Coturnix japonica: one gene and its partner. The protein of the gene in region 1 interacts with the protein of each later gene in a biochemical or structural test. Links are inferred from orthologs where the notes say so. Each region holds a gene or a part of one and is shown on either strand. Other genes may lie near its edges. The genes, in order: MIB2 and CYLD.

Region 1 (3,813 bases):
TATTGCGTGACATGGGAAAGGTCACGAATCTGCTCACAGAGCCAAGAATCTTTGGGTTTAATTCATGCCCCCGAACCACAGAAATTCATTTCTGTCTGATGGCATGGAAAATAAGAGGCCAGCTAAACCACAAGCACCCCAGTATCTGCTCTTCATCTGCAGATGTGTGAGAGATGAGACATACCATATATGATGAAAGCTTTGTTGTTCTAAAGCCTGAACTGGATTTATCTGTGTTACACCATATTCATGGATGTATGATATCAGGCCATGGCTGAAGGACATGCCCATGTCTTTCATGTCAGCAGAAAATTGTTTTTGACTTCAGATGAGTTTGGGATCATGTGCACACAAGGTTGGCCTTTTAAATAGCTACCATTTCAGGTTCCACATGCCAGCTGCCCATCAGCTGATATTCACTGTGGTGCTTTCAATATACACTTTGTAGCTCTTGTCTGCTGACTGAAGAAGTGAATACCCCTTACTATGGGCAGTAATGATCAGTACCAGTTGGGACTTGTTTTATGCCCACTTGTTCCAGGAACACAAGGTTTGAATCTGCTGTTTATACACTGAAGGATCATCTTGCATTTTGTGAATGCAAAACTGTGCTTTCAGATAGTCACTATGATGATTAATTTTAAACTTGGTACAGCTACGTAACAGAATCTTTCTATTAACAGTGTGTTTCTTAATGTATTTTAGCTGCAGGCTTCTGGCTTTCTTGGAAACACAGAGCTGAATGTTGGGACTGCAATTGCGTGTTACTTAGCACAGGAAGGAGCAGATATTAATTATGCAAACCATCGGGGAAAGTCTCCTTTAGACCTTATTACAGACGGAAGGATTGTCCAAATCATCAAAGACTTCTCGCAGAAATTCAGGTAAACAGTGTCCTGTGGAATAGCTCCCTGTCAGGAGGCTGAGTTGGTCTCACTAGTGCAATGAAGATTGATAAGTTTGTGCTACCTGAGCATCTGCATTTTTGTCTTCACATGGAATTGTTTGCCAGGGATCAAAACGATTTTATCAGCTCACTGAATTTGATTACATGTTCTCGGTTGCAGGGAACAGCAGGTTTCTTCAGACTGCTCAGCCATCACCTGCAGCCTTCGCCGCGTGCACACCACCCCCAACACAATGACCAACCTTAGTGTCTCAAGTGTGGCAGTCCCCACAGAGTGCCTGGTCTGCTCAGAGCTGGCCTTGCTCATCCATTTCTTCCCATGCCAGCACAGCATTGTGTGTGAGGGTAAGTCCGTTCTGTCTTTCTTTTCCTTTCCTGTTCTGCCACGTAGCCTCCCTGATTCATAAATCAGAGTCTGTTGGGATGCAAAGCTGTCCATGAGCTGGAACAGCCCCAGCATGATTTCAGCACTGTCACTGTAGATGGAGTGTCCAGAGCCACAGAATGGAGAGCTGTATGGCATCCATAGCACAGCAGTTCTGGCAACACAGAGCATTGAGAAGTCGTGTTGTGTTTGCTACTGCATAGGATAGACTGAAGTGAGAGACGAGGATGTAGCTCAAAAATAGAAGGCAGTGTCCTGATTTCCATCTCTTGATTATCCAGGGAGTCCTCAGGCCATGTTCTCGAGTCTATTGTCTTCCTATTGTTCTTGCAGCAGTGGGCTTAATTGTATCACTCCTTCTATCATTTTGGTAGAATGCTCCAGAAGAATGAAGAAGTGCATCAAATGTCAAGTGACAATAACCAAAAAACTCAAGCAAGGTATGTTTGCTGTACGTGTTTGTCCCAGCAGCAATCAGTGGTTCTCAGTGGGGGTAAAAAGCCCAAAACATAAGAAATAGAGTTAACTTATTTTTTTTGCAGGAGTGGGGGAGGAAAGGGGATCTGGTACCCATAGCATTAGTGTTAAACTCGTCCTTCATGGAATCAGGTTTTCTGTCCTGATGCCTGGACAAAAGCACAGAGGAACAGGGTCCAAGGATCTCATTAAGGTCCACTGAATTCTGTGCATAGTGTTGACTGTAGGACTCTGCTTCGTGTAGCTGCTTCTATGCATGTTGATGTAGGTGATGTCAGATGGTTTCTTGCTTCATACCTCGTGTGTCCTGAAAGACATAAGGGGAAAATTAAATCCAAAGTGTAATCAAGGAGGTTGAAAGAACACAGTACTGACATCAGTGTGAGGATTCATGGACTGTGTGGCAAAACGTCATAACCAGCTTTGAAAGCTTTTACTTAAAGGTAGCACCAACATATTGCAGAGCAGCAAGGCAGGAAGTATCAGACAGCTTGGATTAAGCAGCAGAAGAGAGGAAAGCACCACTGGCCAGTTGATAAAAAGCATCATTTCAGGCTATCCAGAATCCCTGGATAAGGACTGAACAAACTGCTGCTCTTGGAGTGACAGTCTGGTTAAGGAGACACTGCATGAGACAGAGCACAATAGCAACTAACTCTCCCTGCTCTCCCACCCCTGCAGACAGCACCGAGGTGGAGTGCAGCCCCAGCTCTGAATCCACAGATCAGAGGAAGCTCATGGAGGAGCTGCAGAACCGCTACCGGCAGATGGAAGAGCGCATCACCTGCCCTATTTGCATCGATGACCAAATCAAACTGGTCTTCCAGTGCGGACATGGCTCTTGCCCAGACTGCAGCACAGCCCTTACTGTGTGCCCCATCTGCCGGCAGGCTATCCGGGAGAGGATTCAGATCTTTGTCTAAGGATATGCTTGCTTCCCTTTCTGTTCCCACCTCCTTTACATCCTTTTTGTTTGCATTTTAGATGAGAAGCGCTGCTCGGTCTGGCTACCTGCAAAGCCATTGTGAAAGAGGGGGGGAAACAAATGTGACTTAGGTGAAGGGGTGGGAGTGTCCTCCACTTGTAGCACTGTAAGGGCAAGGAATGGTGCTGGAGGGCAGGCAGCCACCTCACCTTGTGCTGCCTGTCCTTTGGAAAGACACGAAGTAAAGAACGCTGAGCTGTCTGCTGGAGGCAGAAGAGACTTTCAGCCCAGAGGCCAACAGACGTTTGGAGTTTGGAGTGCTCCAGTGACTGCATCGTGTCTAGTGCCCTGCAGTGTCAGACTTGCAGCCTTTCGTTGCTCTGAAGGCGATGCTGTAGGAGGATGTACCTTCTACCTCGGCAGGTAAAGCGTTTGCTTGTGCTTTGTGCAAGGAGATACCGGAGATCAGCCGTGGCCATTGGTTTTCCTTGCTGCCTGTCAGTGGTAGGGAGGTCATGTCCTACGACAGCATGCTCTCTGAACGAGCACTTGAAGGCTCGACGAGATTTGGACTGACAGACAAATGTGGCTGTGATGAGATCCTAGAGACAGAGTGTGTGTGTGCCTTAGAGATAAAGTAGTGAGCACTGATTGGAGAAAATACGTTGTTACAACAAAAACTTCTCTAAGTGACACTCTTCCATGTTTTCTTTTTTTGCACAACCGTGCGTTCAGAGACTCCTGAGCTTTCTAACCATGATGCCAAAGGCAGGTGTTCAACGCTCCAATCAAAGTGTAAAGAAAAACAGAGTCATAATTAAGAAATGAGAAGGGTTTTCGGTTTTCGTTTCTTTGTTTTGCAGCAGAACTTAATAAAATAAAATTATATTTTCCTGAGCATTAAAATGAATGTACAAACAGTAGCTGAAATGTGGATCTGGCTGTACTTGTGTTTTCCAACTGTCTGACTGAAGAAATATTACCTGGTGATTCTGTCCTGTAAAGTTACTGTTGGCAGAAGTGGCCACCTGTAGGGTGTGTATGTATCCATATGTGTTTGCGTGTGTGGTGTACATCTTTAATGACACAATTATACACAAGTGATGCTGTTTGTTATAC
Region 2 (4,453 bases), on another chromosome or scaffold:
TCCTTATCTGCCTCATAGTGTAGGCATTTGAAAGGTTTGAGGTGGTGGCAGCAGATAGGCTGAGTGCATCTGGACATGAATTACTTTCCTATACAAGAGATATATTTGACAAATTAGGTCAGTTATCATTACATTACCTCACAGCATGTCAAATCATAATTCTAAATAGATTTAACATTTAAAATGCATTCTGATATTACAGTACAAATCAAGCTCCTTACAGTTGCTATGTGGGCCAGTCAGATGCGCAGGGAGCGTATAAATTGAGGAACAAGTCAGTAGGGTTCACTGCTGCTTGGGAAGACTACATAATTTATACCACTGATTGTTTACTGGTAAACAAGTGTCCTCTGTGATAACTCCTCAAGATAAAAAGAAATGTAAGTGCATAAACCAAATCTGCTTCTTTTTCCTGTCATTCTCTCTGAATTAATGTTTTACCTTTCAAATCCCCGTGACCCTTTGTTCTCCAGAGGAGAGTAAATAAAAATAAACTTATGTTCTTCCTTTACCAAAGTTTGCCAGCATCAGTTCTGAGAATGAGGCCATCTGTCATGTGACTGAGCTCTACTCCTTGCCCACCCATTTGTTTCCTTCCTCCCAGATTTCTCTCTTCATCATTTCCAAATAACACACTTCTCTTCCTGGCTGCGCCTTCTTTGAGTCTCTTCTTTTGATCATCACAATTTAGTTTCACGGCAGACTTCATAATCTCATGGGCACCAGAGCCCTCTGCCAAGGTTTATGCAGATTTAAAGCCTGGATTAATCTGGCCTGGTATTTATATAAAATGTTCTGAACATGGCAAGCACTATAAAAGCACTGTACGTTATGACTGAGTCCATGGAAACCCCCTCTGCTAACTCAGCACATATTAAGCTGCTGCTCCTGGAGGTAAGGTGAAGTGACAGAAACAGCCAAATCTCATCTTTGGAGATTGCATCATTTTTTCTCTCTTTCGGTCTTGTCCTTATTTTTTTTCCTTCCAGGGTTTCTGGAAGAAGCTGAATAGAAGAGAGGGAGATCCCCTTCAAAGATCTTAGCTCCTGAGAGGCATTGTTTGACAGATTTTGGCACAGCCTCACACTGTTTACTAAGCACCTTTGAAAGCAGGTAGCCTTGGAAGAAACCTTTCTGGGGAAATAAAATCTTGATGCAGGGGAGGCTGCTTTCAAGCTCTGGTCTGGCACCCATGTTGGGGGAAGGCAGCCTCCAGGTCCTGGTTATCCCAGCAACCTGAAAGATCACAACACAACAGAGGGAGCTGTAGGAAGATGAATGGTGACAACAGCCCAAGGTTAGTCGATGTGTCTTCACCTTCCATGTTAATAACAAGGGGATAATGCTTGAAATAAGATGTTGTATGGGGAACTGTTAATCACAGCCTGAACCTCTGATTAACCATCTGAGGCAAGTGATGGGTCAGCTGCAGGAGCACAGGTGAAGGTAATTCAGCTGTTCTCCTGGAAGGGTGGAGCTTGACTCCATGTCTCCTAGATCCCATTTAAGGGCTGACCACCCCTAATGCAGCATTTCTTTCTAGAGGTCGTTTCTGTGTGGAGTTTCTACAGTGAGCCTCAAAATGTGTGAGCATCTCGACCATGTGCCTCAACATTGGTGAGTCTTTCCTATATACTTCTGTCTATCCATCTATTTCACCTTTGTATAATTACAACTGTACAGATGTGTATATATTGCAAGGCACTGGAACAGGTTGCCCAAAGAAGCAGTGCCTGCCCATCCCTGGCTGCATAGGGCTCTGAGCATCTGATGGAGCTGTAGGTGTCCCTATGCGTTGCAGGAGACTTGGGCTAGTTGGCCTTTAAGGGTCCCTTCCAACTCAAACAGTTTTGTGGCTCTGTGCTGTGTGGTAACTGTTTGGTCATGGCCTGAAGCACTGATTGAGCACCTGTGATAAGGACCTGCTCAGGCCTGGGAGCACAGGTGAAGGCAATTCAGCTGTGTGAGCAGAAGGGGTGGAGCCTGGCTGCACCTCTTTTAGACCTCATTTAAAAACTAACTGTCACAGGGGAAAGGGTCTTTGGTTGGAGGTCTCTCCTTGTAGAAGCTTTCCCTTGTGAAGCTGGAATCTTCTGATAGAGGTGAGCAATCTTCTTCCCTTCTTTTATTGTAGATTTCTATTGTGCTGGTCCTTCTGTCATCACACCACTGTTGTAATGCCTTTCTTGTTGTATTGATCTGTCCGGTTGCTACAAATGCATTCTGTTTAGGATATATTTACACCTTTATGTGAATAAATTATTGGTACTTCAAAGTATTGTACAGTAGTCAGAATCAAAATGTGCTCAGCTCTCGTTTTCCCCACTGGGAGTGCAGCTACCTAAGATGGAGTCAATAAGCTTTTCCGGCACTGTTCAGAAGGCATTATGGGTTCATTTATTTTTACTTCCCTCCCCCCATTATTTGATAGTTCTTTTAAGAGTTGCGAGTTTTACTTAGTTCCTTTTGATCAGAAGGAAAAGGTACTGTAGGAACTGAGGCGCTGCAGTGACTCTGGCTTTGAACTCACCAGGTCTAAAAGCCTGCAAGAACGTTTTCCCTTTCAGCTTTCCAGCCAGCTCATAGAGCTTGCTGGCTGATAAAGGGCTCTGTTAAATTGTCCTGAAGGACAGCTAGAGAGCTAGGCACTGTAGTCTGAGCTCACAATGGAATTGATACATGTATATATTTAGTTTAATCGTATTAAAATGTAAACATCAGGCTTGAGGTGTGTGTATGTATATAGATATCTATTTAATTTCAAGCAATTCGATCCTTTCTGTTTGTTATAGAAGTTTATTTTTCATTCTCACGCTTGCAGAGGCGCTGCCTCCTGCAAATGCTGCAGCTCCATCTTGTGGCAACGCGGGGTGGAGGCAGATGGGAGAAGTTAAGAAACCAAGGAAAGGCGTTGGGATTGAAACTTGTGTTTTGGGAAAAGCTATTTGGGGCTTCGTTTTGGGTTTCTGAGGCTACTTGAGCACTGCTCGGAGTGAAAAGCATTTAGACGACAGTCGTTTGAAGAAATCAGTTGATCAGAGCAGGCCATCTATTTCTCTTTATTTTTCCTTGCCTGAGTAGCCACAGACATACAGGTGTGAATTACTGATAGAAGGTTACGTGTTTTAAACTGTGTGCATCTATTACCACGAGGTTCTTTGAAAAGTAGCTTTTATCTGAGTTTCCTAAAATGTCTGGCAAATATTTATTAAGCATCAAAACACCCAAATCTGTTTGCTCTGTGCATTCATCAATTCATGTCTGTCTGCCTTTCCACAGTCTATAGAGATTGTGTGTGCATTTTCATATGGACAGTAGAGCTTATTCTGCTCTCAATTATGTTATAACAATTTATTTAGGTGTATTCGCTCTAAACTGTCACTGCTTTGACATGAAATGAGTGTCTTCATATCTGTATATATAGCAAATACACGCTAAGCATGATGAACATATGCTGCAATGTCATCTTAATGCAAACAGCGGGTTGGTTCTCTTGGGGTTCTCACCTCAGCCAGATGGGAGCTGACATTGAGTATTTTACACCGTTGCATCCGGGTTTAGTTTTTCAACACATCTAGTTCTTGCCTTCAATCTAATAAAAAATAAACAGTCTTGATTTGCTCAGCTGCTGTCTGGGCCACAAAACCTTTCTAGATTCCAGTTTGTGTCCTGAGCTGGACTCCCATGCTGCTTGTATGTAACTGTTGAATTCAGTAAATGTATTTAGCCTTATTAAGATTCAGAAAAGCAAATATTATCCTCCAGTGATGCAGCAGATAACAGCAGTTAATAACAAGTATGTGATAAAGATCACAGGATTCCCTGTAAACAAGATGCTGCATTGCACAGAGAGCATCTTGTCTGCATATGTTTCATAAGTAACTAGGCATCCTCATGGGCTTCTTTAGTTATTTTAGAAAGTTGTGTAAACAGCATTATCTACTTAATGCCCCAAATGATATAATAATTGATATGGAAATGGGGCAAAGCTCTATAGATTGTAGTACAACTCTCTGTGGACTCTGGAAGATGATCTGCCCAGATTTTATTTAAATTTTATTCTGGCTTGTTTGCATGCAGCCTGTGGTTTGTTAAATATGCTGGGCAGATGCTGGTTGGGCAACGTTGGCTTTTTTTGGCCTTTTCTTTTAGAAATGCGATTTTATACTTGGATTCTGTATACTTCAGAGCTAAGTGTCAGTGACAATGAGAAGAGTAAGAGCCTACTGGAAAGCTCTGGTGCATTGTGTGTTGTTTGTTTCGACTGAATGGCAGGGAAAGCAGATCATGATGGGTTGCTAACAGCTATGATACTCCTAACAGCTATGATACTCTACTGTTTGTCTCTTTCTTTTGGTGTAGATTGCAAGAGCAGGAAAGAGAAATACTGGAGATATAGAAATTGCTTAAAACTGGAAATTGTGTTTGAGAATCTTTTTCTGTTCCTTCCTCT

What was found.
Region 2: of the proteins of MIB2 (region 1) and CYLD, one has a biochemical effect on the other in vitro, tested with the Homo sapiens proteins (2 studies listed by BioGRID, with this or other methods). The link is inferred for Coturnix japonica from reciprocal best matches to the Homo sapiens genes MIB2 and CYLD.

The regions. Positions count from the first base shown.
Region 1 is NC_029536.1:1,724,280-1,728,092, reverse strand, and holds part of MIB2 (E3 ubiquitin-protein ligase MIB2), read left to right. Parts: intron 1-705; coding exon 706-884; intron 885-1,067; coding exon 1,068-1,252; intron 1,253-1,666; coding exon 1,667-1,732; intron 1,733-2,450; coding exon 2,451-2,692; 3' UTR 2,693-3,813. UniProt on the Homo sapiens protein: E3 ubiquitin-protein ligase that mediates ubiquitination of Delta receptors, which act as ligands of Notch proteins.
Region 2 is NC_029526.1:5,132,322-5,136,774, reverse strand, and holds the start of CYLD (ubiquitin carboxyl-terminal hydrolase CYLD), read left to right. Parts: upstream 1-1,545; 5' UTR 1,546-1,617; intron 1,618-4,453. UniProt on the Homo sapiens protein: Deubiquitinase that specifically cleaves 'Lys-63'- and linear 'Met-1'-linked polyubiquitin chains and is involved in NF-kappa-B activation and TNF-alpha-induced necroptosis.